Arabidopsis thaliana: one gene and its partners. The protein of the gene in region 2 interacts with the protein of the main gene of each other region in a biochemical or structural test. Each region holds a gene or a part of one and is shown on either strand. Other genes may lie near its edges. The genes, in order: RPL, STM, ATH1 and MPB2C.

What was found.
Region 1: the proteins of STM (region 2) and RPL form a complex in vitro, tested with the Arabidopsis thaliana proteins (one study listed by BioGRID).
Region 3: the proteins of STM (region 2) and ATH1 form a complex in vitro, tested with the Arabidopsis thaliana proteins (one study listed by BioGRID).
Region 4: the proteins of STM (region 2) and MPB2C form a complex in vitro, tested with the Arabidopsis thaliana proteins (one study listed by BioGRID).

What each region holds. Positions count from the first base shown.
Region 1 is NC_003076.8:392,308-400,435, reverse strand, and holds RPL (POX (plant homeobox) family protein), read right to left. Parts: upstream 4,870-8,128; 5' UTR 4,683-4,869; coding exon 3,963-4,682; intron 3,263-3,962; coding exon 2,862-3,262; intron 2,508-2,861; coding exon 2,447-2,507; intron 2,110-2,446; coding exon 1,564-2,109; 3' UTR 1,311-1,563; downstream 1-1,310.
Region 2 is NC_003070.9:23,057,332-23,065,105, forward strand, and holds STM (KNOX/ELK homeobox transcription factor), read right to left. Parts: upstream 4,733-7,774; 5' UTR 4,392-4,732; coding exon 3,963-4,391; intron 3,503-3,962; coding exon 3,247-3,502; intron 2,557-3,246; coding exon 2,303-2,556; intron 1,675-2,302; coding exon 1,465-1,674; 3' UTR 1,251-1,464; downstream 1-1,250. Other genes in the region: AT1G62350 (Pentatricopeptide repeat (PPR) superfamily protein), read left to right, coding at 182-604. UniProt on the Arabidopsis thaliana protein: Required for shoot apical meristem (SAM) formation during embryogenesis. Negatively regulates ASYMMETRIC LEAVES1 (AS1) and ASYMMETRIC LEAVES2 (AS2 or LBD6). Probably binds to the DNA sequence 5'-TGAC-3'. Binds to RNA.
Region 3 is NC_003075.7:15,913,189-15,921,139, forward strand, and holds ATH1 (homeobox protein ATH1), read right to left. Parts: upstream 4,966-7,951; 5' UTR 4,352-4,965; exon of another isoform or gene 4,201-4,351; 5' UTR 4,018-4,200; intron 3,701-4,017; 5' UTR 3,686-3,700; coding exon 2,837-3,685; intron 2,745-2,836; coding exon 2,401-2,744; intron 2,309-2,400; coding exon 2,248-2,308; intron 1,845-2,247; coding exon 1,677-1,844; 3' UTR 1,482-1,676; downstream 1-1,481. Other genes in the region: AT4G32970 (BRISC/BRCA1-A complex protein), read right to left, coding at 1-34, 111-404, 497-655, 858-1,112; AT4G32990 (Transducin/WD40 repeat-like superfamily protein), read left to right, coding at 7,042-7,221, 7,346-7,432, 7,556-7,780, 7,874-7,938. UniProt on the Arabidopsis thaliana protein: Transcription factor which may be involved in the signal transduction pathway downstream of the COP1 gene. Controls floral competency as a specific activator of FLC expression. Is responsive of the nuclear import of SHOOT MERISTEMLESS (STM).
Region 4 is NC_003076.8:2,598,429-2,605,245, forward strand, and holds MPB2C (movement protein binding protein 2C), read right to left. Parts: upstream 4,508-6,817; 5' UTR 4,251-4,507; coding exon 4,050-4,250; intron 3,789-4,049; coding exon 3,705-3,788; intron 3,248-3,704; coding exon 2,927-3,247; intron 2,786-2,926; coding exon 2,567-2,785; coding exon of another isoform or gene 2,507-2,566; exon of another isoform or gene 2,471-2,506; coding exon 2,315-2,470; 3' UTR 2,015-2,314; downstream 1-2,014. Other genes in the region: AT5G08110 (UBQ, helicase-c and DEAD-like helicase domain-containing protein), read right to left, coding at 50-736, 826-1,404, 1,507-1,686. UniProt on the Arabidopsis thaliana protein: Prevents homeodomain proteins (e.g. STM) association to plasmodesmata and, consequently, cell-to-cell transport. Binds to RNA. Alters STM RNA binding capacity. Regulates cytoskeleton (e.g. actin) organization that determinates cell shape.

The DNA of each region.
Region 1 (8,128 bases), on a different chromosome or scaffold from region 2:
GCTTAATTGGTTTTAAACCTCAGGATGCAGATTACCCGTTCATCATCAAGTACCTTCATCTTCTTCTTCGTGTTGTTGTTGTTTTATGTTAATGGTGAGAATATATATAGAGCTGGTGAAGCTTATAAAAATAGTAATGGTGCAAAAGAATTATACTTATTCCGAAGGTTTAATGCTTCTGGAACAAATACTCACACAGAAAGACAATATCTTTAGTTGTCCATGGTTTCTTATATGTTCTCATATTTATCTCTAGACTCTAGTTCAGCATATAGATAGACCAATATAAAAATATATGATATAACATGTACGGTTGACGTGGCTAGTGTCTAAGGTTGCCACTATATGTATTCATGAATAATTCAAGAACAAATCGAATAGTATCTCTATTGTTTTTAGAAATTTAACTAAAATTTTTACATGAAACGTGTGGAGAGTGTTTTTCCGCATCCACATAAAGGAGACGGATTGTGAGAGATCAAATCATGAGAAATTGATTCTTTGTAGTTTGTTCTTTAGGAGCCAATGATGGCACCTTCTTAAATTTATTTTTTACTTTGTACCTTTTTAATATACAAATAGTTTTTTGAAAAAATTATTTGACTGCTTTTATATTCTTCTCTCGGCTCATTACATGAACCTCTTCTCAATTATTGAATTTCATATAATTCAAAACATATTTGCTAATACAGTTTATGTTTACATCTTATTCTATATAGACATAATCCAAGAATATAAACAAAAATGGTGTAAACAAACAAAAAGGCTGAGAAATGGTTAGGATCGGAGAATAAATTCTACAAAGAAAAAGATTTACTTTTTTCCCATGAGAGGGAAAGGTTATGTATATATATATATATATATATATATATATATCTTTCTTGTTTTCCAAAAGCAAATGGAAAGTTATTTGAAGCAACAAAAGCACAATTTTATTTTCAATACTTTTGCTCTCATGTGATCTTCAAAAGCCAACGTATTAGTACACACTGAACATTAAACCGAACTCATTTGTTTTGTGTGTTTGAAATCGGCTCAAACTTCTTTTATGAGTAGAAGAATTCAACAATGTTGAGCGGATCGGAGTCAAAACTGCATCCGACTCAAAAAGATAACTCAAATAGTCTGAAATATTTCAAGGTTTAGGGTTTGAAAACATGTTGTTTAGTCAATGTTTACTATCAAGTAAAACAAGATAGTTCAAAATATAATATCAACGATCAATGATAAACATCTTAATCGCGTTCTTCAACGATAATTGTGACATACATAAAAAAAAAAAAAGCACCATGTTTTGAATCATGCCAAAATATTAAAACAATGATAGATGCCTTTTATATTTCACCAAGACATAGACAACTCTAAAGTCTAACCCATGTTTTTAACATTGGTTATTGAATCCAATTTCATTTCTTAAAAAGATAACATTTGTGAAAGTAAGCAAACAACAAAAAAAGAAGAAGAAACATTCTAATATACACATCATATGCATTTCAATTCCCCCATATCTTCTTATACATACCCAAACGTCAAACATATTTTTTCCTTTCCACACAAATAATCTCAACCTACAAAATCATGTAGAAACTGATGATTACTACCACCAATAAAATCTCTCCCAAACTGACGATTTTGCCCTTCATACCCACCACCACCATCGCCACTACCACCATCAAGCCCAAACCTCTGAGCAGTTGTCATCGGAAAAGGCTCCGGTAACCCAATCTGATGATGAAGCCCTAACGTCAAAGACACTCCTCCGTTTGTGCTGCTATTCATCACCGGCACATTCGACGACCCAATTCCATACGAGAAACCAACCGCACTACCGCCGCCGCTCCCACTGTTTACATAGCTGTTGTTGTTGTTTGTGCCATGAACGTCGTCGTTTCGTGCCCGTCTAGGCGGAGATGAGTTGTTAGGTCTTTGCTGTGCCGAGGACGAAGATGGGTTGTTGTTGCTGTTGTCAGGGAAGACGGTGGTGCTAGTACGTTCGTCTCTCCAAGAGGAAGAAGAAGATCTCTGAGATTGTCGAGTCTCCAGCATGTGAATCTCTTCCACCATCGGCTTCCAAACCCTAACTCTTGCGTTTATGAACCAATTCGATACCTAAAATAACATTTTACCATAATAAATTAATAACCCTCAAGCGATAGAAAATCCCTAAATTATTCATTATCACCAACGGATAAATTTTCAAAAACAAAAGTGTAACACTTATTCAAACCTAATAAACCAAATTATAACATAGTTACTATACTAATGATATATGTGAAAAGATTTAAAACATATAATTATTGTCCGACAACAGAAACTCATTTCATAAAAGCATATATTTATCTATGTGACTATGTGCATGCTTAATTAGCAAGAAATTTGTTAAATTGTGAACAAGAAAAGATGGAAAGAGAAAAAAGAAGAAGACTGAAGATATCAGAAGTGAAACCTGATTTCTGGAGAGACCTGTCTGCTTAGCCAGCATGAGTTTGTCTGTATCTGTTGGATAACTGCAACAAAAGACACAGACAACAACAATTTAATATATCATTGTATATACTAACATACACATATATATAGACACATAATTACGCTTGCAACACGACATCTCCAAGTTTGGGAAACAAACAAGCAGTCGACATGTCCCATCTAAAACATACTTCCAAGTAAAAATACACTTCGATACACACATATTTATTCACACTGACACACACATATAAAGCTATTGTTCACAAGCATATATATACAATTTGGTTCATGATCAATTAAACGTTTGCATTTAGTTTAATCAATTGTTGGAACCAAGTTCAAACTCGAATCCAACAACTTTCAAAAGCATTTATATGGCGAGAAGGGTTACTTACGGATGCAAGAAATGATCGAAGAGCCAAGCCCTTAGAACAGTAACAGCACGTTCGGGTAGGCCACGGTGCGGTCTCCAAACAGGAGCATGATGATCAGGAAATCCATGTCTTTGACCAGCAGAACATAAGCCTCTAGAACTATCACTTCCTCCAAATCTTAAAGAATCAGTCTTATTCTCAGAGTTCATCGGATGACCACATTGTTGTTGTTGTTGGATCTTGTTGTTGTGGCTGAATTGAAGCTGGTCCGTTATAGCATTCTTCAAACACTTGAAATGCTTAGACAATGCTTTCAAGGCTAAGTTAGCGTACGGAGCAGCGTGCCCGAGACCTGCAACGCATTCGAATGATCCCATCACAGCTTGTAGCTGCTCATAGTATTGCTTATACCTCTTGTAAACCTTCAAAACGTCACATGGAAATGTTTTTAGATTCCCCCACTTACATAATAAAATGGGTGATTATAAATTTATACATTATTTCCTCACTCAAAAAGTATGTTATATACCTCGGAATAAACTAATTAAAATCTTTAAGTCCCTAGCTTTAAGATCATATAATGCATATATTCCTTTCATAAAGAAGACGTTCTCTTTTTATCACTTAATGTTTATACCCCTAAGATTTGAAGAATCTAATTCACAAATTCAGATCAAGAGCTAAGGAAGCTCTATATAAAGTTACTTCCTCAAGATAATATTATCCTTACTTTAGTATAACCTTAAAATTCTATTAAAAATCAGCATGAAGATGGCAAGCTTGTAATTTATATAATGTATTAAAATGGACGCTATAACATCATCTATTCATGCAAAACGTAGGGAACATTAATTTAATTAACATATGGTATTATAATGAATTAAATAAAATATCATATAATTTTAAAATGGCTTTGAAGGAGTTTCATTTTCCAAGGAAGATCTTTTTAAGAGACATATCATTTAACACATTTTGTCTCCAATTCCAAAGGACACCGACCAAAAACTGTGAACATTTAACACAATAATTCACATACTTGTAAGAAAGTATAGACAATAATTAAAGAAAATTTACAGATTTCAATAATTTAAAGAGATTAGAATTGATCATGTTATTGTATACCTCGTCGAGCATGGAGATGAGTTTTGATTTTTTCTTTCCATTATCTCCTCCGCCGCCATCAGAAACACCGCAGAGATTCTCAACCGTCGGATCAAAAAGCAGAGAAGAATCATCGTCGTCGATGACTTTGTCGGTGTAAATCCCACGACCCACATTACAAAACTCATCAAGAAGCATCTGTGCTGGTTTCAAGAACCTTGATCCTTTAAGAATCGACGCGTAGCCCGTGAAAGGTCCGAGAGGACCAGAGCTTCTAGACGCGATGGTGACGGCGGCGGCGTTGGCTTCACCGGCAGATCTACAGAATCCGGAGTTAACAACACCGGGAACGACTAGATCGTAAGCGAGTCTAGGGTGAGAGGACAAAGATAGAGATAGAGGCTCGGGTTTGAAGACAAGAACGTCTCCGGAAGAAAGTCCGGCGTTAAAGGAATGATCTCCGGCGACGGCGACTGCGGTGGATGAAGAAGAAGAAGGGCCACCGAGAAATCCCATGAAATTACTGTAGCTAGGGTTAGATATGTGGTTGTTGTTGTTGTTGGAGTGAAAGCCACCGGCTGCGAGGAAATCGGAATCAGCGAGAGGAAAGACGCCACCTCCGCCGCCGGAGGAAGGAGGAGGAGGAGGGTGAAAGTGGAAGTGGGAATCGAGAGATGGAATACGAAGTTTGTCTCGCCGGCTTTGTTGAAGAACATGATAAGGCTCGTATGCATCAGCCATGGGAAAGGATGATGTCGATGAGATGCAGAAGAAGAAGAAGAAGAAGAAGAGAGAGAGAGAGTAACAGTGTAAGAGATAATGGCGAAACGAGAGGTTAAGAGAGAGAGAAGCTCTTTTGGTGTCTTTTTGAAGCACGATCAATATGTATATCAAATTTTTCTTTATATGACATATTTTGAAAACCTAAAATATAAAATATCTAATGTTTATAAGACTTGGAGGAATTTAGTATGAGCATTACAAATTTGGTCAAGATTCATCTTTTTGGTGTTTGTTACTAAAGCCAATTCAATGCTCTCTCATAGGTCATCCGTAGAATGGTGAATTAAGTTTAATGATTGCGTGGGATTTTAGTATTTTATATGGTTCTGTGAAATCGTGATTTAGTATTTACGTTATTACACGATTTCGTAAAACTGAAATTGAAAAGACATATTCTTTCTTGAATCATTTTTTCGTCTTAGCGTCCTACAATTTTTTTGTCATTTTTCACTACCTGTTTTGTAGTTTTCTCTTATTTTTGTTACATTTCGTTTTAGTCACACAACTGTTAAAAGTTAATCGTATATATACTGAAGTCCTAAAAATAAATCTCATTATTTTTTTTTAAAACGGGTATTTCAAACGATGGATACATAGTAACTCGATATACTTTCCTCATCATGCAAACAAATTCGATCTTTATAATATATATATATATATAAAATACTGATGAAAATCTTTAACAAAAAAAAATACTGATGAAAAGTGAAAAGTCCCGGGTTTGGTGGGAGAGGCTTTGGGGAATCAAGAGAAGGCGACCGGCTGTAACCGGTGACACTGGAACTGGTTCTTGTACAAAGTGTTCTGTGTCTCAGTCTTTCACATACGTACTGACATTTCTACAACTTTTAAGTCTTCTTTTTGTCGTTTTTCTTCTTTTCTTTTGCTGGAATAAATACCTTTTTACGCTTAAAATATTTAGTCACTCTATTTTTATTCGACAATCATACATTCACACTAATCTCCATAGTTGTAGGCTTGTAGCTATAGTACTAAAAGTAGGGATATCAAAATGGATAACCCAACTCTACTCAACTTATAATCAAATGAGTTTAAGAATAAATGAGTTATGGGTTGACCCAACTCATTTTGTTAAATGTGTTGGGTCAACCTATAACTCATTTAATTTAATGGTTTGAGATGTTAACCCATTTAAGTAATAATTTAATTAATTATTATTATAAAACAATAATAAATAATTATCATTATTAATTCATTATCATCAAACTTAAGATATTTACGGATTTTATTTTTTACAGGTTTACGTTTTAGGTACGGAAAATCACGGATTTACGTTTTGACAGGAAAATTATAGTTTTTTACGTTTTTGGCCGGAAAATGATGGGTTTACGTTTTTGGCTGGAAAATTTCGGGTTTAAGCTTTTCGGCGAAAAAATCTCGGATTTACGTTTTTGGCGGGAAAATCACGGATTTACGTTTTTGACGGAAAAATCATGGGTTTACGTTTTGGGCGAAAAAATAACGGATTTACGTTTTTGGCGGGAAAATCTCGGGTTTACGTTTTTGGCGGGAAAATCACGGGTTTACGTTTTTGGCGGGAAAATCACGGGTTTACATTTTTGGCGGGAAAATCACGGGTTTACGTTTTTGGTGGGAAAATTACGGGTTTACGTTTTTGGCGGGAAAATTAAGGGTTTACGTTTTTGGCGGGAAAATCACGGGTTTACGTTTTTGGCGAGAAAATCACGGGTTTATGTTTTTTGGTGGAAAAATTACGAATTTATTTTTTCTCAATTTCATCGCTTGTATATTTAAGAAATTTGGAAAAATATTAATTTTATTAAATTTGTTTAGATGTGTTGGTTAAACTTAAATTGGCATTGGTTTAGAGATTTTAGTTGGTTTAATTCAATTTTATAAAATTTGATGGGTTAATTGGGTAAACCATTGAAACCATTAACCATTACAACCCAACTCATTTTACTCATCAAACCAATTGACTCATTAACCCATTTGACTCATCAACTCATTTGAGTCAAAATTTTCAACTCATTAGGGTTCATGGGTTGAGTTGAGTTGAGTTGACCCATGAATTTTGACCTATTTTGACATCCCTAACTCAAAGCATGGATGGTATGGTATGACCCGTAAGATTATACATTGAGAACAATCAAATTCTGCAGTTCATATTATATAATTAGAGAAATCACAAAGATTTAAAAAGATGCCTAGATTAATTATGTTAACAAATTTATAGTCCATAAATTAATCAAAATTGTTGTGAATTGTGATCAACCATATTTTATTATAACTAGAACAATCACAATGATTAAAAAAGATGCATAGATTAATTATTGTATATAACATATTTATAGTCCCTAAATTAATCAAAATTGATGTGAATTCTTATCAACCATATATTTTATGTGTTGGATTACATACGTCTGTGAGAGTTATTTGTAATAATTTAAAAACCTAATAAATAATTTGTCACAAAAACAAAAGCGAATACCTTTGCAAAAAATATGTTATAAGATATGCCAGAATATGATTAAACCGGGAAAGTAATTTCGACTGTACTGTAATAATCGTGTTTGAAATAATCATTAGAGGATATTTCCGTTTGCATGGGAAATAATGGGACGTAAATCATTTGAAAAAATGTGTTTCGAATACTAAGCAATACTTTGCGTTACAATATTTTATATTATATAAAAGTATTTCCTCTTTTGGCTAAGATGGACCACAAAAATTGAAAAAGAACCAAGGCACTCCAATAAAGTATTACAGTAAATTAAAGTGCACGTAATTATTAGTTCTTCTCTTCTCTTCTTTTTTTTTTCTTTTTTCTTTTTACATTGCATCACGGGTAACCACACGAAAACATTTTTAAGCAATCGCTCCTTTTTCACCTTCTTGGCTGAACATAAAATAGTATATAACCCAAAAAAAAATTACATATATTTTTCATTATCTGCCTCTATAGATGTAATGCGCGCTTAGATTTGCGACTCTAATTTTAGTAAATTCATAATAATTGTATCATTTCAATTTTCTAGGTTTTTTTTCTTAAATGTTAGTATATTGCACAAAAATAACTTCATGGGGGAGCCCTAGTTACAAAAATAATGGGGATGGTTTGGAATTTTATTAAAACAACATGGATGTGTAAGGCTTGAAACCCAAGTGGTGAGAATTGTCTGGCTGATCGAGATTTTGCAGTGATAAGGGTTGTAGAAAGATTTTGTCATGTGATGTTGCTTTTTCATCCAAAGGCGAGTGTATGTATATTGAGTTAGAGGTGAGGATTAAAATGATGTTGAAGATAAGAAACCATCCCTTATTTATTTGTTGTGGGATATTCATAATATGCCCCCAAGTTCTCAAACGGCCTCGAGACAGCATTCTAATCCAAATAAGGATCCGTGTTTCAGAATCGTGCC
Region 2 (7,774 bases):
TGAATTTCATACTTCCTCTTGCCGCTTGATACCTAATAAACTGAATCAGAATCGAATTAGCCTAACTGGTTTGGTTAAACTATTTCGGTTTGGTTTATATGGAGCTTGTTGATGTTTATGTATTGTCACTTGTCGTTGATGTTTAATTTGGTTTAGTGTTTGTCTTCTTATTATGTTTCAGCTCTATGAAGTAGTGAGGAGAGAAATATGGTACAGACCGGACATGTTTTTTTACAGAGACATGCTAATGATGCTTGCAAGAAACAAGAAAGTTGATGAAACCAAGAAAGTATGGGAAGATTTAAAGAAAGAAGAGGTTTTGTTTGATCAACATACATTTGGAGACCTTGTTCGAGGGTTCTTGGATAATGAACTTCCTTTAGAAGCAATGAGATTGTATGGAGAGATGAGAGAGTCTCCTGACCGGCCTTTATCTCTGCCTTTTCGAGTTATTTTGAAAGGACTCGTTCCTTATCCTGAGTTGAGAGAGAAAGTTAAAGATGATTTCTTGGAGCTTTTCCCTGGAATGATTGTATACGATCCTCCTGAGGATATATGTGAAGATAGTGATGAAGAAGCAAGAACAGATAGCGATCTTGAATAGAGAGGTATGTCTTGAATCAATGCTTGGTTTGGACTGTTTAGTTAGTGCTCAAAATGTCAGTGATGATATTATCCTCGAGGCTGACCCGATGTATCTTCGATCCATAGTTTCTCTTGTTCTGCACATCCACTAACTTCAGGAACCATGTCCCAGTTTCAGGTTAGATCAAGTGGGAAAACAAATGGAAGATTGTGGCTATGCAGAAACTGGAACTATTCGTCTTTGGTAGGAACAAATTATGGCTATTGAAAACTGAAGATGATGAGGAGCATATGAAGAAGAATTTGAGAAGCTTATAAGCGTATATATGTGTAAAGATCACTCTCAGCAATGCTAAATGCTGCTGTATTGAATCGGTTCAAGATAAGTCATATGTTTGTGAAGATACATACAGCAGAAAGCGTTTTAAGGGACAAAACTATTAGAAGTGGATTAAGTTTTGGTCGATCTTGTCTTTTTGGGATAGTGATGGGTCTGTTTGGGCCAGACTAGGTCTTTTGGAGTAATAGCATTCTCTCTTTTCTTTTCGTCTTTTCCATCCCAAAAGTACAAAATTTCGACGCAAATACTTAAAAATTAGCAAGGAAGATATACATACAACCAAAAAATGGTCCAAATTGTCAAAAAGGTTGTCAAATAAAAAGAATAGATCAAAAAAGCTTTACTATCATTATAATAGGAATAGGAATTTCGCATAACAATAGAACAACACAAAAGGATACACACCACAACATCAAACGCTTGTTCATCAATCGGAACATGTTTCATATGTTCCAAGTATACCGAGAACCATAGATTATACATATTATAAGCTGTTTAACGATTATAAATATAATGAAATAAACGTTTTAAAGGATCGATCAAAGCATGGTGGAGGAGATGTGATCCATTGGGAAAGGATTGCCCAAGACATTATCCATGAAGTAATGGTGAGGATGTGTTGCGTCCATTACTACAAACTGCATGTCCTCCGACGGCTTCCAATGCCGTTTCCTCTGGTTTATGAACCAATTGTTTATCTGTTTCTGGTCCAGCCCCGTTGATTCCGCAAGGGCGAGCTTTTGTTGCTCCTGCAATTTCATATCACATGCGAGAAAAAATCAATCATCAAGTGTTCTCTCCGATATAAGGTCAGTCCATGATCACAGCTACATCACGATTTGCTAGATTGTAAGGAGAACTTAGAATCCATCTACTCATACGAACATGGGTAATGACACTATACAAGTGTAATAAAGACATGAGCTACTATTGCATTAGGGTATGGCCTCATGCACCCTACTTTCCAAAGTTATGACTTGAAATATGTGCAACAAAGTTTAGTCTAAGTTATGGTACACAGCCATAAGATGAAATTGATCGTAGTCTTGACTAAGATTGACATATTATTCGGACCCTAAAAAAGGTATGGAAGCAAGAATCAAGTTTGTCATCGGCTAATAGACCAAAACAGTACACATAGACTAAATAAGTTCACTTCATTCAGCTTTTAGGATTTCAAATTATGCAAATGCATATTGTGCAATGCCAACATGAGCTAACATAAACTAATGTCCCTAACGATATAGTATGAATGCAAAAATCACTAAAAACATTGAAACAAGCTAATAGACAACTAAATTGAATTTGCTATCATATAAATGCTTTTTTAAAAACATGAAATGATTATTTAATTAGAGTATAAGGGAAGAGAGTTACCGAAGGGTAAGGCCATTTGTAGTGACGGCTCCACCAATCAAGCAGTTGTTGACGAGCTTCTTTAGGGAGCTTTCCTTTCTTCCTCTTCTTCATGAACTCTTGCTTGAGGCTCCCTAAGTAACCACTGTACTTGCGCAAGAGCTGTCCTTTAAGCTCTCTATCCTCAGCTTGTGGATCTACAAATTCATTGTTCATATCGACTTCTTCCTCGGATGACCCATTATTGTTCCTATCAATTGCTGTCTCTCCATAACCTTATATTGATTAAACATGTGAAAGCAAGACAAATTTGTCAACAAGAACATGTGTCTAGGGAAATGAAAAAGAATAGGCTAGTGATCCAAATAATTCAAAGTAACATGTTAAGTAGATGTGAGTTTGTGTGTCTATATAAACTTAACTACATTCTTGAAAAGAAGAGTGATATGACATTGTGTAGATATATGTATATGTGATTATACGTACAAAAACATGTGTATGTCTAAATTGAGCAATAGATCTAAGGACGAGCAGACTCTAGATCCAGATATTCTTTTTGATGCATTTGAATTAAATAGATCCAAAACAAACGGAGAAGAAAGAGACAAGAACAGTGATTGTTGTTGTACCAAAGCAAATGAATTCAATTCCAAACAAAACAAAAAAACAGTAAACAAACTGTTTTAATTCAATGAAAACAACTACATACACTAACTTATGTATAGATAGATTATACACGTAAACCTAGTAAGCTATATATAACAATCTGACACTAACCCTAGTAACAACCATCAAAGGGGTATTTACCCAAGAAAAATCAGAAAAAGGAAAATCTTTCTTAAAACCCACAAAGAAAAAAAACAACTTTCCTCATCTTACGTTTAATTTGACGCCATAATTAACAAGAATATGAATTAAAAAGAAAGAAAAAAAAACAGAGAACTAGAGAGAGAGGAGAGAGTAACCGGAGAAAGAGGAAGGTGAGGATAGAGAGAGGGATTTGAATTGACACTCGACACGTTGAAGGAAGACCATAGCTTCCTTGAAAGGTTTGGAGAGCTCTTGCTCATACTTAACGAGCATTTCACAGTAAGCTTCCATGAATTGATCAAGCCCTGGATCTTCACCTAGACATCCTGTTGGTCCCATAGATGCGGCAGCGGCTGCGGCAGACGAGCATGCCTCCTCTAGCCTCGCCACAACCTCCGGTGGTGCTCCAACCTTAAGAAATTGTGTAATTAGTAAATGATAGACATAAAAACGTTAATTGAACTAAGATAAGGATCCTCACGTTTATTGTGGATATATAATATAGTAAAGAAAAAAATGAAATAATTATATATGTCCTAATCTTCAAGCCTACATACAATATTTTGGATAATCTCTTGCAAGTAGGGTTTTTACAAATTGTTTCTTGAAACTTTCTCAATATAGGAAAAATTGTATCCTTTGATTTGTATATACTTAGCTGGGTTAAGTAACTAGTAAACAAAAGTAGATATCAAAATCAAACTCAGACATCAAGTAAAGGGTTATGTAAAAAGGAAATAAAAGGTAAAGTTTGGTAATTAGGGTTTCTAGAATCTTTCTCTTCTTTTTTGTGCAAGAAAATCAAATAAGAATCATTAGAGTTACGAAGAAACTTTCAAAGTAATTTTTTCAAGTTTCTTTCTCTCATCACCTTCTGACAATTGACATAAGCGGCCAAGAGGCGGTGGTAGTGAGGATGAGCCATGATCTTGGCCTTGACAGAGGCTGAAGAAGAGGAAGAGGAGCAAGGGTTGATTCCTCCTGCAACGATTTCGTTATGATGGATCTCCATTAGAGAATAGGCAGGAGCACAAGAGGAAGGAGAAGAAGAAGAAGCAACTTTGTTCTTAGTTCCTTGGGGAGGAGCTAGTGATTGAAGAAAAAGGGAACTACTTTGTTGGTGGTGTGACTGATATGCATAACCATCATGTTCTTGTTGTTGATGTTGATGATCATGACCATGATGTTGATGTGATGTCATGATGGGCGGCATCATCATCATCATAGGACACATCGGACCATCACTATTATCCCCGGCAAAAGCCATTGGACAAGAAGTGCTGTTGGAACCACTCTCCATCTTCTCTTTCTCTCACTAGTATTATTATTCACTTTGGCTTTGCTATATAGCTATGAGAAATAAAAAATGAAAATAACATAAAGAAAAAAAAAGAGGAGCCCCCATTGTAAATACAGCTAGCATTTATCATCAATATCATGAAACACATTAAAGTACTATAAATTTATTGGGAAACCCTAAAAGAGTAAGTAACTGTGTGTGTGTATCTATGGTTTAATTTAATTATTTGAAAATGCAAAAGTGGTCTCCCGGGATTTATGCTTCAACAATCAGCTTCCTTTTCCACATTGAAAATTCTAAATAGTGATAGTTATGGGGGAGAGGGAAGCAGCAGAAGAGAGACCAGGAAGATAAATCTAAGGAAATTATTATAAATAGGAAATAACTTTTTAGGAGAAACTTATTTTAAAAAAGTGTAAAAAGCAGACATGGACAGAGGTTGTGTGATCTGTGGGTTCTTAACTCTTTTGTGTTCTTCTGCTGAAATATGATTTCTCATTTATGCCTTTTCGGAAATTAATGTTGTAATTTCTCTTCTTCTTTTTTGAGGTAATAAACCGGATCTCAATTTATTTTTGACAATTTCTTGAAATGGAGAAAACCGGAATGTGCCTCGGAAAGTCCAGTGAAAGATATATTGGAATTTGTTATTTCTTTACCATGGGTCGGGAGTATCAAATCGAATGTTGTCATTTGGTTTTGGTTTTCATACCATGAATTCCCAAAAGTCTAAGTTTCCTGATGGGATATACGTATGCTGATGTTGGTTTAAAAAGTACATTTGTGTATATGTATATATGTATATTATATGGTATGTGAAGATATTATTAGGACTGTTGTACTCAAAAACTTTCTTAGATTCTCTCAATAATTAACCGATAGATCTCCATATAGTATAATTTACGCATTTGTTTCAGTAACATATATTGGATTCGCTTTTGTCAATAGGAAAAGATAGCAGTCTTAGTAATTTTATAATAAGTGATCTAACATTTGATTGCAATCAAAGTTTTAATACTATTGTAAATGTTCTTATGGGAAAAAAATGTTGTTAAGAAGAAGAAAAATGTCATAAATATAATCATAGAGTAAAACATGTAACTGTTTATTTGTTATATAAACGAAAATATTAAACACACATTTTACCTTAAAAAAAAAGTATCTTGTATTCTGTATTGTTTTTAAAAAGTGACAACTGATGGCTTGTTATATTAGACAACAATGAACCATTTGTATTTGCCACCATTATCATGTTCTCGACCTTTTTGGTCGATTGATTGTAATATTAGATGGTAGACCTCTTGCCACTTGAAAAAATAACCAATCACATTCAGACCACTAACCAAATCTATCGAGGCATTTTAATTAGAATAATATACGAGGCTATTAACAATTGTTAGCACTTCTTCGAACGTAGAATTGACTCAACATAGGACACATGTTACTATCAAGAGAATAAGCATGGGACACCTGTACCTGTTTATCCCTGAAAATAGTATACAGACTTGAGAAAAATTCATTTACGATTGACAAAGTAATTCATCAATTGTCAATTTGGAGGATTGTACGAAGGAAAATGATATTATGCATGTTACTTTAATACACAACGAAAGAAATGTATAATTTTACTTTAAATTTAATTGTCTAGTTCAATACTGTGGGAAAAAAAGAAAAACAATACAATTAAAATTATCAAAATTGATAAGTACATTACATCAGTGCCGTTTATTCGATCAACATTTCACTAGCCGTATGTATTGCTAATTTTGTTATCACTATTCGAAATATTATTTAGAAGTTGGATATACTATATATTCCCATACTCGTATGTCTATGTTTATAAGTAAACTATATAAAAATAAATATGTTAAAAAAAAGTAAAGACCAGTATAAAGCTAATTTTTCTTGCTTTTAGGTTAAGGACAGTGATTCGTTGAAATCAAAAGTCTTAGAAAAATATTGAAGAGAGAAATCTTCAAGGCAAAGTTTTACTTTCCCCATGAAAGAAGAAAAAAAACTCTCTCCTCAGCCACTGCCTTCACTGCCATTTCTGGCAAAGAAAAGATAACTGAGAAACTAATAGATAGAGAGAGATTACAAGGAACCCATCAAATCATATTTATATATTACCAAACTGGATTTTATTTCATTTGCTTCAAATTATGATTTATATATACCCTAAAATATATTTTTTTAAAAAATCTTCATTTAGTTATCCAAAATATGTTGGATCTGGACTAAAAAGAAGAAAAGAAGTGATTTTTCTCTTCTTTTTTTTTTTATTTTTTTTTTCTTTGTCTCCTACGCTCATAGAATTTTAAAATCGAAGTAATAAGTTCTCTTTTTTATGATGACAAAAAAAAAAGTTCTCTTTTTATCAATAATAAGATTTTAACCACAACAAATTAGGATAAACAAAATTAGGATAACGTAAAAAAAAAAAAGGATAACATAGCAAAATATTAGATATAAATATTTTTGCATATGTTTTCCTTATGAACTTTAAATAAATTTTAAATACAATAATTAACTTATAGGTAAATATTAATCAATGTTTTGTCAATTATCTCTAGTTGTTATTTTTAATTGCGCTGCGTTTTCGTTTAAGAAGTTATTATACTGTTTTCGACAATATGATTAATGATTTATGCGATTTTGGGAAGTGATGCACTTGCAAAACTTATATATATATCACACTATTTAAATATATATCACTTTTCATATTATTGAAAACGAACGTATATCTCTATAATAGTAGGACAAATAATCTGAAAGTAGTAGGGATTGGAAAGAGTATGAAAAGACATCATTACTAAAAAGCCATTTTGGATGTATATTCATTACATAACCGAAAGCAATTCTACTAAACAAACTTATTTCTTCAGTTTTGCAGTTTCTACTGAATATATTAGTTGGATCAACTTTTACCAAAGCAATACAATTTTATTCTTTTGCCATGGAACCAAAATTGTAGGATTTACTTAATTGTATTACCTAAACCTTTTTCATTTTTCAATGAAATATTTACATTTTTAGCAAAGCAAAATACAATTTTACTTTTCTTATTTGGTTAATTGATGAGTTTTTGGCCAACCTCACGCATATCTTATGATAAGTTAATAACATATAAAACTATTTAATTCATATTCTAAACTATAAAGAATATGATTTTATATCTAAAAATGTAAACAGCTTGATGAGAAAAAAAAAAAGATTTTTTCGGGGGTCTCTCATTTAAGAACCAAATAGTCTATTTCTATTTGAATTTATATATTATTTTGAAAAATCTCACTTTAAATGTTCATAGTTTATACATAATTATATATATATATATATATCCTAAATTTTGTCTACTATTGTGATTGTAATAATAGTTTGATCGT
Region 3 (7,951 bases), on a different chromosome or scaffold from region 2:
AATCTGAGGCTGATTTATCACAGGAAACAGCTGGCTGAAACAAAATCAAAGAATGTCTGCATCAGCAAAAGAAGAGAAAAGTCATATAAGCATTTCTTAACCGCAGTCACCTTCTTTGCAGGAGGCTTGGGGAGATCAACTTGAGCACATCTTTGAGGAGGATGTGATAACAACGTTGACATACGCCTGAAAACAGACTGTGAAAGCCCATGACTGCCCTCAAAGATGTAACCTTCATACTCCGAAACACGCTCTATAGCATCAACAAGAGAGTCATACACATCGTGAGTACAATTATCAGGACCCGACTTGTCGTGCAGGTACATAACATCCAATGTGAAGAGCTTCTGGTTTATAGGCCAATCATGGGTTGGTCTCACGGATGACCTGCAGTACATGAGAATCTGAAGAGCAAAATATAAACGAAATCTGTAAAACAGATTCTTTTATCACGCTGTGGCTAGAAGAGATAGTATTTGCACAAAACAAAACTTACCACTCTCAAAATTCGATTTTGTGCTCTGGAAGTTTTGGCTTCCTGAGCCGCTTCCTGGAACAGAAATGTGAGATCCGCTGGACCAGAGGATCTAGTAGCTGACATTTCTCTTAAAGAAGCAGCAGCAGATTTAGCATCGTTGGAGAATTCCTTTTTAAGCTGAAACATAAAAGACCTCAACTTTAACAGTCACACTAGTGAAGCTTATGCAATACATCAAATATGACTCTCTCAACACATTTATAAGCTACCATAGTCCAATGAACATCACGAATTCAAAATTTGACATCTAAGGAGCATGCATACTCAAAAGCAAAAGCAACCTAACATAAAGAGAGCTGGGGGAGAAAGTAAGTCTTACCCAAGCGGCTGACTGGGAGAGGGTAGCGAAAGCAAAGCGATGATCGGAATTTCTGGAGAGCTTGTCGTGGATAAAGCGAGTAATGGCTAGCTTGAGGCACTCGAGCCTGTTCAAAGGCTTACCGTTAGTTCCAGTGGTCTTCATCTCCACCGTCGATTCCGCATCAACATCGACGCATATGAGTATGTCTTCGCTGGGTTCCACCGAGTCTCGAGTGGCTACAGCTCCGGTCATGGTGGCTCTGTCTTCCTCCATTCGCCGTAAAAGGCTCCGTCTTTACACTTTCTTCCTCAGTTTTAGCAAAGTGTCTTCCTTTTCCTACTTTCTATTTCTAATTGTGTCCGTACCAGATGAAAACGCTGCGTTTTTATTAGTTGACCGAAGATTCTCAAGTCAAACCAAAATACGACGTCGCTTGCTAGGAGATTTTCGTCATTATTCATTTCAGTTTTTGGAATAATAAAACTCACTTGTAAGAGAAAAAAAGTTAAATGCAAACGGTGAAATAAAACTTTAGGTTTGTATTTTGTAGTTTGTTTGAATAAATATGAAAATAAATCTTCAGTGGTTACATACTTTTTATATATTTTCATGAACTTAATTTTATTTTTACGTAAAAATGGTGATCATGAAGTTTAATGAGGATGATGATAATTATGATATAAGAATACAGGATAATAAAATGAAATAGTCAAAGATAAAGGAGTTGTATATACAATTATAACATACGTAATGATAGTCGTACATGGTTTAGGTTTTGGGCAATCATAGAGTAGCAATTGCCTAATTATCACAAAGTTGGTAAACACAATTGTTGTCTTATTTATGCATTGCTTGGCTCATCATAACAGATTTTGGCATTCGAAGAGTTGGTCCGTTGGGTTGAATGTGACTGTTATTGAGCTTCCTCTTGTTCATTTCCGCATACATCTCTTCTATCATCGGCTTCCATAGCCTAACCCGCGCATTTATAAACCAGTTTGATACCTTTAATCACACACAACAAAGAGACACACTCTATATCATTTGCCCGCTTTAACTTACTTCAGTAACAAAACATATGTGCGACTACAATCCTAGGACTTGAGTAACATTATTGTGAATTCAAGAATACATAATCTAGTCTCATTTGTAGTTCAAGAGAAAAGCTTGATTTTTTCCTAGCCCTAATCTCATCTTAAAATAACCAATACCGGTTTTTCAGACATGACTAGTATGTCAAGATATATATTACTCATTTGAATACCATATTTGCTATCATTGTGAGCAAAGATGTTATCAATAAGTCATTGCATAAGAAAACAAAGATCTTATCAATGAGTCATTGCATAAGAAAACAAAGCTTGTTATCAATGAGTCATTGCATAAGAAAACAAACATGAGACATTACCTGACTTCTTGTCAAGCCACTTCGTATAGCTAGAAGATGTTTCTCCGAATCTTTCGGGTAACTGCATTAAATAAAACATAACTTTGCTTATAAAATCGAGTTAACAATGTCATCATCATAAAGTAGATAGTTAAGAAGAGTAAGGATTGTTACGGGTGAAGGAAGTTTTGGAACATCCAATTCCGTAGAACCGAAACAGATTTCTCAGGCAAACCTCGTTGAGGTCTCCAAATCTGATGGTTCTTTCGTTTCAGCTGCTGAAGAAGGCAATGCTGGTGGAACATAGAGGTTTCTTGAGTCTTGTCTTTGCCTCTCTCCAATACAGATCCCATAGAGATTATCTTCTTGCAGATTCTCTCTCTCAGGTTCTTGTATAAGAAGGAAACGGTTTGGAGGGCAAACCGGGTGTGTAACTGTGGATCTAACTCGGTTGCAGCATGGAACGCTGATATAACCGTATGAATCTCATCTACGCAATGACTATATCGATCATCCACCTGAAGAGAAATATCAACTCATAAAACTTCATCATATATATCAAACCATTTTTTTAACTTATGCAAAAAAAGTGAATGAATATATTACATACCATTTGAAGAAGATCCAAGAGATGGGTTTTCTTTGCTTCTAATGCTCTCCTTTGAAATGTAGATCCGAAACCCGCCTCCGAGTTATTAGAATCACCATCAAGAAACTCAGTTATATTCTCAAAACGTGAAGTAAAGGCTGAACTAGCAGCTCCTGACTCGGTTCCTCGAGATGAATAATCGAGCGAGTATGCGGCGAAATGAGATAGTATTTCTTGAACAGAGTGAAGGTATTTTGAGCCAAATATAAGTTGAGAGAAACCTTGAGTAACAACGTTATTAGAAATGTCTTTGCTGCTGCAAGAAGCTTGCTCTGAGGCTAATCTTGTAGCTGCACAAAGACTTATCTCCGAGCATTCATCAGAAACATCTGATGCAAGACTCAATGAAAGCTCATTGTTTCTTTTATTCGAAATTAGAAACGGGAAATCTTCTTCACCGAATGTAGACATCATTGGTTCACTTGGACCAACTACACCTGAAAATGCCTGAAACTCACTATTTGCTTCAAAACCCCACATGTTGTTTGAGGAATCATCATAGTGTCTTAAATGATCCAAAGGATGAAGTGGAGGAGGATGAGGAGGAGGAGCCATGAACTCAACATTGCGGTTATCTTGAACATCGATAGACCGTGGAGAAGATGATAAGTATTTGTTAGTCAGCATAGAATTGAAAATATCAAAGCCACCCATTTGTAGAGGATCTGATCTGATGGTATTCCATGGAAGCATTGTTGAGAATGAAGTTGAATCTTCTCTTGAAGGTATAAAATCCATGAGAAGAGGATTTTGGTTAGTCATGACATTATCCAGAGAACTAAAAGTGTTGTTGTTGTTGTTGTTGTCCATTGGGTTTCTATGAAACTGCATTACCAAAGAAGACAAGTATTTAAGACTTAGACAAAAGATTTCAGAAAATCTAAGAAACCAAATCTTTGGAGAATAGTACTAAATGTAAAATGCTGCAAGAGACAGAGAACATCGCTCACTATGTCATTAAATATTTCATTAAAATATATAAAGAACCGAAACATGAGTTAATGAAGCCGTAACTAGGCTCAATGATACACAGACCAATAATATCTCAAAGCTATCTGTGATAAACAGTGAACTAATAAGTAAAAAAGAAAGCTTTAGATTACTACAAATGTCCATAGAACATTAAAAATGTTGAAACTTGCCTTTATCCTTCTTCTTCTGATAGAACCTTTGGGAAGATTTCAGACAACACAACGTTCCAAAGAGAATTTTTACATCAAAATTTCCAAAATGTGTGTTAAAAACTGAAGAAGAAGATAATGCTTATTTATCTTCTTTCTCCGTGAAAGAACAGTGTACTTTCATTCCGCAGCTTCTCTATGTTCCTAAAGAGAACCAAAAAGCAGAAATCAACAATAAAGTTAGTATTCATAAATTAAAGAGAACAAAATAATGCAACAAAACTGAAAAAGAGAAAAGTGGGTCTGATTAATCTCTTTTGCATGAACGCAAACACTTACAAAAAAAATTACTTACTTTTTCTTACAATAATTTCATGAAGAAATTCATAATCTTCATCATCTGCCTCACTAAAAGATTCAGAGCACTAGATCAACAAATAGCAACATTTTATAACTAAATAAACAAACCAAAAGTTGTATTATCGAGGGGAAAAATACAACTTTAATATTCAAGAAAGAAGAAGTTGAAAAGAAGGAGGGCCAAATCACGTACGGAGCTGCCTCTGTTTATGACACGAATCCATTTTCATATCTTTAAGATCTTCCGACCAAAAAAAAAGATAAATCAGAATCAAGAAAATCTTATATATAATCACTTTCTTAAAATGTCATTTATTTAAAATGTTGTTCATAGAGAAAGAGATGAATCTAGTAAAATTATCTAAAGAAAATATATGGTTGAAACAGAATCGAAATCCAAAAAAGAAATCCAAAGACATGAAGAAGACCGATGTGTTACTGTTTACTACAGAGAAGTGCACTCATTTCTGTTGCAGGCTTTAAATTAGGGAAGAGACCCTACATTTTACTATTTACATGTCTCTATATATATATATATGTATGTGTCTCTATTTATAAAATTTTATAAAGTTATAAGAAAATGGTGTTGTCTTCTTGTGCTGGTTTCAATTATCACAAATCAGAAAGAGGGAAAAAAGTAAAGAAGGGTGAGATCTTTTTTAGCCATTTAAGGAGAATTGATGAGATGTGTGATCCATTTGGGTTCTTGCTTTTTCTTCTTTCTTTTCTCACCACTCGTGTCTTTGTATTGTGCCATCAAATCTTATATCCATTTACGTATTTTTTTCATATAAGTTTTTTACGTAAGCTTTACAAAAATATCAATCAATTTGCTTGGCCTTTTCTTTGATTGTTCCTTTCTTATCATTTTTATTTATTTATTTATTTATTTTAAGTTCAATGTGTCGTTATGTGTTACGTCTTTATTATCATGGCTAATGATGATGGAATTGAACTCTATTACTCGTAGACTATATAGATTGCAACATCTGAAATTATGCTCTTCTTTATTACAACCAAAAGAAGAAGAAAATCTAATGGTACTTGATTTGATCTGTATTAGCGTGACTTGATCTGTATTTTAAATAATGTTAATGGTACTTGCCTAAACAATGACTTTCTAAGCTGGTATGAGACAAAGAAAAGGGTCAAGGACAAGTATCTTGCATGGCCACTCCAAGCAAAATTGGATATTGATTTGGTGAAACAGTTATTGTTGTTCGTATAGGACAAAATTATTTTCAATAGAAATCGATAATTATTGATATCATATCCTTATTATTGTTTGCTTACAAGTCTATATTATTTAATAGTTTGAAATTTTGATTTAGTAAAGCAGAATAGTATCAATAACACTAGGAACTATAGTACCGACTATTAACTGAAGCTGGAATGCATCTTTAATCATGCCTACGATCTTAATCAATAACACTTATTAATGTTAGACTATTAGACCCGTGCTCATAACTTTTGGGTCCTAGGCGAATTATAAAAGTTACTTTTTTTTGTTGTCTGATAGTCCAAACAAGAACTTGTAATGCTTTTTCTAAAATGAAACAAAATGTACGTTGGCTATGGAGCCTATCGACTCCAGCACCAGCAGATGCTTAATCTACTCCATAGACTAGAGCGCTTTTTATCTGAAGTCGTATAATTTCCCAAGTCATTTGGCTTAATTATTGTGTATCAACTTATACTATATGCTACTGATGTCTTGCTTAGAATATTATACAAGTTCATTGACTTAGAATTATATATAGGCAGACTAAGCAAAATGGGAATAAATGATCACAGAGGGCATTAACTAGTTCACTGAGGTTCAACAATCTACTTGATCTTAACTCCTTTCGAATTAATATAGAAGTCGAGCACTTGAGGATCAGAAAACACACATTCATTCTCAGTGTCTGAAGCACTTGAGGGTCAGAAAACACACATTCATTCTCAGAGCGGCGTATAATTTTAAGATGTCAATCGCTCTTACGTAAAGATCGATAGCCATCCACCTAAACATATGCAATACTCCTTCTGTGAACAAGAAATTTATTGATAAAACCAAGTGTGTTAGCAAGTTAATCTTTACATAGAAATCAAGGACTCACTCTTAATGACCAGCAAAGTGTGTTAGCAAGTTGAGTGACCAGCAAAATTCTAACCCTAAAAAAGTAATGTAGAAAGCAAGCCCTCATTATCACCTTTACCGTGACATTTGGATTTCCATCTCTATCACCACCCATCCAGGAACCAAACTTTAGTGGATTCATTGATGCAATGCAGATAGAAGAAGAATAGAAGATGATGCAATGCAAGAAAGACATCCCTTGAGAGAGCCCAAACCATTCACCTTATTCCAATACATTAAAAGGTGTGGTTTTTCCCAAAAAAAAATTAAAGTAAATTTTTACTTTTAGAAAATTGGAAAGAAAATTTACAAATCAGATAAATGAGAATTTACAGCTCAATATTTCCATATCTTCCAAATATTTTCCATAGATTTTATTTTATTGGAAAAAGTATCTTCTTAAAATACCTTGAGAGGTTGTTTAGACTTTCTAAAATTTATTGGAAATTAATCTTAACCATATGCTTTAACTTTTGTTATTTACCTCGACGGGCCGATATTATATATATAGCAAAATTTGATTTTCGTGGAACTTATAGGCTTCTCTGCTGATCCAGAAGGAGATGAAAGTGATGGATAAGAATTTAGGGTTAGAGGAGGTTCAGAAACTTGAAGGTCACACTGATCGTGTTTGGAACGTCGCCTGGAATCCCGCCGCTGACGGTGTTATTGCTTCCTGCAGTGCCGATAAGACCGTACGAATCTGGGAGCAGAGTTCTCTTACTCGTTCCTGGACCTGCAAGGTCTCTCTTCTCTCTTTCTTTCGAATTTGATGTTGTTAGATAATGTGTCACTAATGAACATGAAGCCTCGTGATTGGTCAGGCTGTTTTGGAAGGCGCGCACACAAGAAGTGTGAAGTCGTTAGCTTGGTCACCGTCTGGGAAGTTTCGATGGCAATACTTGCGTTTGGGAAAATTTTGCTACTGACTCCGAGTCTGTCTCTGTTTTACGGGTACTAAATGTACTATCTCAAAGGCCTATCCTTTATGTGTTTGTTGACAACTGAAATTTATTGTAGGGCTTTGATGTCCCTCTGGGTTTCTTGACTTTTTAAAATCTCGTGGAATTTTCTTAGGGACATGAAAGCGAAGTCAAAAGTGTATCATGGAATGCATCTGGTTCGTTGCTTGCAACTTGTGGTAGAGACAAGTCTGTCTGGATTTGGGAAATACAACCAGAGGAGGACGATGAATTTGATACTATTGCAGTGTTAACTGGTCATTCAGAAGATGTTAAGATGGTCTTGTGGCATCCCACCATGGATGTTTTGTTCTCTTGCAGTTATGATAACACTATCAAGGTTAAGAGAACAATGCTTCAAATGTGCTTTCATGAATTGGTGTCATATCTATGCATAAGCATTTAACTGCAATGCTTGTGTTTCTATTAACAGATTTGGTGCTCTGAGGATGAAGATGGTGATTATAATTGTGTACAAACCTTAAGTGAACTTAACAAGTATATCCTCTAT
Region 4 (6,817 bases), on a different chromosome or scaffold from region 2:
AGATCTCTGAGTAAAAAAACTCAAAAGAAAAAGAGACAAGCTGAGTAACCTTGGTCGGAAATAAGTACAAGGCACAAGAATTTGTATCTTTGCACAATTCCTCAAAGACTGGCACGTTATAGCAAAGAGATTTTCCACTGGAAGTCATAGTTGCAACCGCAACATTCTTTCCAGCCAAGGCTGCTGAAATTGCTTCAGCCTGATGGCTGTATAATGTGTTGAGACCAATTCGTTTCAAGGCAGACTTGGTGGTTTCCGAGAGCTTATCTGACATTTCGACGTAGGCAGATTTTCTGGCCTTGATAACTTCAACGTGAACTACCTGTCCTTTAGATCCAATACCATTCCTGAGATGTTCAACCATCTCCGATGGTAGCAGTGAATTTGTGGCATGACACAAAGTCTGGAATTTACGAGAACCAGAGGTAGGACAAGTGCCTTTCCCAGCCTGTCTAGCTTCGTTTCCACCATCAGCTCTTCCTTCACTGGCAAATTTAAGCAAGCCCTCCAAGGAAATAGCTATTCCACTCTCACCTGTATTTTTGTTCAGTAGCGATCTGATGGACTCCCAGAAATCAGACTTAAAGGAAGCCTCCCGTTTTTTCATGGCACTAAAGAGCTTTGCAAGAGGAATTTTTTTACGACCTGATTTTTCATCCATCTCCAGATAGTCAGCTATAACTATAGCGTTCTCATAGTTCACAGCCTCATAGTCATCAGTGATAACCTTTACTACCTACAAACAACCATTGGCGGTTACATATAAAAACTTCTTGTCACAGAATAAGTAGGTATACTTAAAAGATATAGGGGAAAAAAAATCACCTTGGGGCATATAACAGAGAGATTCTTAACGTCTTGTATACGAACACGAACTCCAGACATAGCTAACCGGGAAAGAGATTCCTTCAAGCGGGTTAAATATAACTTTTCTCCATGTGATTGAAGAACATATGAAAAAATATTCAAAAACGCGAATGTCTCCATAGACAATTTCACCCAATCAGGACAAGAACACAAAGAGCTACTTGAATCCCATGACATCAAGCATTTTGTAGAACCTGGAGATGTCAAGCAATTCCTGGACTTTAAAACCTCAGCAAGCTTCTCTGTGTTCTGACCCTTGAATGCATCTTTACACTCAGACTCCAAATCATCATTAAAGAATCCATATGGACACGCTTCTTCATCCCGTTTTCGTTTCTCACCAACACAATGATCCTCAGCTCTTTTAGCGTTTTCATCTTTCATAGTTGAGGTTCTTGAACTCAAGGAGGAAGGTTTTGATAAATCAGGTTTTGGAGTCTGTCGAAGTTCCTTCTTCTTAAACGGAAATAAACCCAAGATATCACCGTCATTAATAGTAATCGCAGCCACTCTAGTGTCCAATTTCAATTTCTCACCCTACAAAAAGAGAGAAATTCTAATTTTATCCTTGAAGAGCTGATTTAGAAAACGAAACTTGAAAGCAATCGCGAACGAGTGTAGTAGAATAATAAGCATTACCTTGATATACAGATGGAAATTGGAAGAAGAGGAAGCGGGAGGGAAACAGGATTTTAGGGCTTTCTTTAGGTCACGAATTGTCCCGTCAGAGGAAACCTGAACGGTCGTCGATTCGCCGTTAATGCTTCGGACAGAGATCGGAACACTGTCTCCTCCGCCGCTGCGTCTCTCGTTCTCCATTACCGGATTTTACTTTTTCCTTCCATTAACAAAGAAAGAACTTTTTAATGTATATATAGTTTTAAAACTTTGTTGGGCTTTGAACTCGACTTCGTATCGATGGGCTAATGGCGCGGAATTTTTGACACAGCCGAATTCGGCACGTGTGAAATATTATTATTATTTTGTATTTTTTCCCACCCGTGTGAACTATTATTAGATTAAGATTATCACTAAAAAGACCTTACCTTATTAAAAGGAATTCAATGTGAGCCCAAACTATATTTTGTTAACTAATTAAGCCCAAATTCATCATTCCACGATTTCAAGTTGAACAAGTATGGCTGCTTTAGATTCCAAAGTTGATAGATTTCCTTGTTAAGAGTATATCTAAAGTAAACTATTGAACAGATGCATTATACAATCTGATTTTATGTTCCCAATAATGTAGAAGATCATATAGATACATACATGCTCAAATGAAGAAACAAAAACTCAGAGTTGCGTTCATTGGTTTAGGGGAAAACCATAACTTTATGTTTCTCACATAAGCTTTTCTTCTCCAATTTCTTCATGGTACAAATCTACATACTCCTAAAACAACCCAAGGAGAGAAATATCCTATAAAGAAGTAAGTACCTGAAGATGATTAATATGTAAAGGCTAGTGATTGCAGGTAAGCTCGAGCTTGAGCAGCCATGACCAGAGATTCTTCATCTTCTCGTTCCTTTGCGGTATTCACTGCTGCTACATAAGCTAATCTTGCTTCTTCCATTTTCCTCAGGTCAGTTTCATCTACATCGTCCTGTTTTTAACGCATTTTGCAACAAGTTTTTAGATATTAACCAAAAAAAAAAAAAAGGAAAAAGGAGAGATGAGGATTGTGGTTTCTTTGGCTTACTAAATATGGAAGATGATCAAATTCATATGGGACTGCATCATAATCCCTATCGGGTTTCTTGGAATCAGTTTTTGCCAAAGTTTCGAACACCCGTGTGAATGTAGAGATGTCTCCTTCAACAGCATCTAGCTGTTCTTGAAGCTTGATTGCTCTTGTTCCTGTTGTCTTTGCTTCCCATTGAGTCTTCTCAAGGGCTGCTTGCTTGTCAGCAAGTTTGATCTAGTGAAGACAGTGAAAGGAAGCAATTAAAATGTGAGGTACGTGTAGAAGCAAACTGAATATTCTCCATTTTGTTTAAAACCAGATTCAAAGTAAACACAAAGGAGAAATCTGGAGACACATAAGAGGAAAAAGGTTTACCTTTGTGTCCGATAATTGTAACTGCATAGACTTGATCAACATATCCTTCTCAGCAACCAATCGATTTGTTGCTTCAAGCTTTTCTTGTATCTCGTTTACCTGATTCTTTGACATCTCCATTGACTTTAAAACCTCTTCTTTCTCCGATAATTTTGTCTGCAAGTCATTCACTTGCTCTCTTAGTCTACTCATTTCTTCCTTTTCTGCACCAGCCAAAGCCTTTGCGTTTTCATCATCTTCCCTAGAATTGTTCATAACATCGTCATTTCCCTCTTGGTCTCTCTTCTTTCTTCCTGGGACTGTTTGAGAAGCATTTCTTCCCTTTGGATCAAATACATGCAAATACAAGTGAATAAAGTTATACAGCCGAGCATTAGAGAAACAGATTCATTTGAGAAATGATGCAAACATTTGGCGAGGGAAATCAAATCCCCCGAACCACCCACTGAAGTTTTTAAACCAAGTTATGAAGACACCAGTACTCCAGAAACAGATTCCATCATTACAACAACAACATTTACTGCATATAATAATTGAAAAACATCTATAATCCCTTCTAAATATACAATTTTTGATTAAGCCATAACGCCAAGCTGATATCAGCTCATACCCCAAAAGGAAAAGATCACAAACTCAAGCCATTATCTAAGCAAGTTAGCAAACTACCAGTGTTAACCAAGTCGAAACTTATTGATACCTATGCAACCAAGCTACAGTGTATGAATAATGTTAAAATTGCCATAAAGAGATGAAGAAGACAAGAAGATTGACATCTTACCCTTCGGGACAAGGATTCTTTTGAAGGCATCTTAGTGTAGATCATGGAACCACGCCGCTTAAACGAACTCCTTTCTTTATGTTCCTATATATCGTTTCAGTGAGAGAAGAGAGTCAATAAATTTCGAGCTAAATATGAAATCTACAGTCTTTATCTTTCAGAAATTTCAAATTTTAATGTCCAAATCAATCTGTCAAAAAAGTTTCAAAATTGCTGCAAATTTCTCAAAATTAAGAAACCAATTCCGTCGAATCTATCCCAGAATCTGCAATCCCCTCGAAACCCAAACATTATTGAGCTCTGATAACTCGACAAAAACGGCCAAGAGAGTTAGAAAGGATTTACCATGTAATGCTCGATAAGGGGAACCATCTCGACGAGATCTTTTAAGAGACGACGATCTAGATTCTCATTGCCGGAGTTCGTACCGGCGGCAGATTGGTGAGGAGAGAGACGAAGATCGTCATCGCCGGCGAGCCAGGAGCTATCGTCCCCAAACCCAGAATCGCTTTGCAAATCCATGAAATGTTGCTGCTGCTCATACATCTTCTTCGTCCTCCGTATAATAGATCTGCTTCAGTGATTAGTCTTCAACACCAGAGAGTCTGAGCAGAGAGAGAGATAGACGAAGAGAAAGACTTGATTTTTATTTTCTTTAAAAAAATTCGTTTCATTCTTCGTTCCGAGTCTGAGCTTTGGATCTCAATCTCCAACGTTCATCTGAAACTATCCAACTTATAATTACCATTTTACCCTCATGTTTTTCACTATTCTCTTGACTTGCCCTTGCTTTTTGAATTTCTTTCCTTCTTCTATGATCCCTTAAATTTAACATTATGCTTTGTTTAAAATTTGGAAATTGAGATTTTCCATTTTACAATTTTTCAATTATATGCTTTTCCAATACGGGTTATTCTGATCGAAAACGTTATTGGGTCGTGTCTTTCAATCTTGTCCGGTCTTGAGCCGTTTTGGTTCCCGATTCGAGAAAACCGGTTCACGAACTTCATGAATCTATATATCTATATATACATTTTTGGAGGGGATTTTTGAAGATAATGTTGAAGATTTGAGCCATAATTCAACAATTAATTCAAATGGGTGAATTTTACCCGGTTTAACTCTGTTCGGATCCTGGATAACATGTTTAATTCTGTTCTGATCTGGATAACATTAATTTTTGGAAAAGTTATCTAAAAACTAATAATTAAAAACGAAAATTAATGATTTAATTACCAAATTTAATATAAATAATATCTCTAAACTAACCATATTTCTTATTTACCTTAACTAATTTCCTAAAATATTTCTACCTAATTTAAACATAAATATATAATTCTTCTTTCAATTTTATTTGATCTTATACTTTATTTATTTTGAATTTATATAAAATATATATAGTTAATAAAATATTATATTTTTTTCTGAATATGATGTAATTCAAATTTTTTAAAACGGACATATATTATTCAACCTATGAAGAAATAATATGTGTACAATGTCCCACATCGCTTAGAAAAATTGGACAATGGTTCAGACCCATATTATAAAAGGACCAAAATAATTCTGATTACGAATGAGCAGGAACCTTGATTTATCAGGCGTCCAAAATTAAAATAGTTATCCGATTTTACTCGCATTTTTTATTTTAAAGAATTGAAACTTTAAAATGTTTCAAGAAATTATAAATATTATAACTTTATCAAAAGTTAAATATTATAATTTTAAAAACTTTTTATAAAGTATATCTTTAAAAAATGCTTTAAATATTTATAATTTTAAAACTTATAAAGTTTTAAAAATTATAAATTGAATTTTACAAGAAATTTAAACATTATAAATATATAAAAAATATATTAATACGAGACGATATATTACAGGAAAAATCTTAAATATAACAATCAAAATTCAATGATGAATTTTGGGTCGATATTGTATTTTTTTTAAGTTTCAAATTTTATAATATTGAAATTTATAAGAAAATGACAAAATTATGTTTAATTTCACGGGACTGGGTTATATGGTAGGACGGGTTTGGGTGGATAATAATTACGATTTTAGAATGTCCCATATCGCTTAAAAAAATTGGACAATGGTCAAGAGCCATACTATAAAAAGGACCAAAATGATTTCGATTACGAATGAGCATGAAACTTGATTTATGAGGTGTCCAAAATTAAAATGGTTTGTTTACTAGGGTTATTTATTTTAAAAAATTGAAACTTTAAAAAGTTTAAAAAATTATAAATTAAATATTACAAGAAATTTAAACAATATAAAAAATATTAATACGGGACGATATACTGCGAGAGAAATCTTAGATATAACACTCAAAATTCAATGATGAAGTTTGGGTCAATATTAATCTTTTTTGAAGTTTCTAATTTTATAAATATTTGAAATTTATAATAAAATGACAAATTTGTGTTTAATTTCACGGGACGAGGTTATATGGTGTGACGGGTTTGAGTGGATAATAACATGGGATAGTATGCTATGGAAAAAAACATATAATAACAATCATAATATAATTATATAATCTTAAACACTAAACAAAATTAACAATATTAAAAAAAAAAAACTTAAAACTTTAATTTTTTTAAAACACATTTTGATTCTTTTATAAGAAATTTAAACATTATAAATATTTAAACTTTATACTACGGGTGAAATTTTATAATTGACTGTTTGGGTTGATAAGAATTTACAATAGAACTAGGAGTTAAATCCTAGAATGACAATCAAAATATAATTATACAATTAAATACTACCACGAGTGAAATCCTATAATTGACGAGTTTGAATCGATATTAATATGGGATGGTGTACTACGGGTGATATTTTAGAATTGATTGGTTTGGGTTGATAATAATTTACGATAGAATTAGGAGTGAAATCTGATAATGACAATTAAAATATAATTATACAATTAAATACTACCACGGGTGAAATCCTAGAATTGACGGGTTTGATTCGATATTAATATGGGATGGTGTACTACGGGTGATATTTTAGAATTGACTGGTTTGGGTTGATAATAATTTGCGATAGAATTAGGAGTGAAATCCTACGATGACAATTAAAATATAATTATACAATTAAATACTACCACG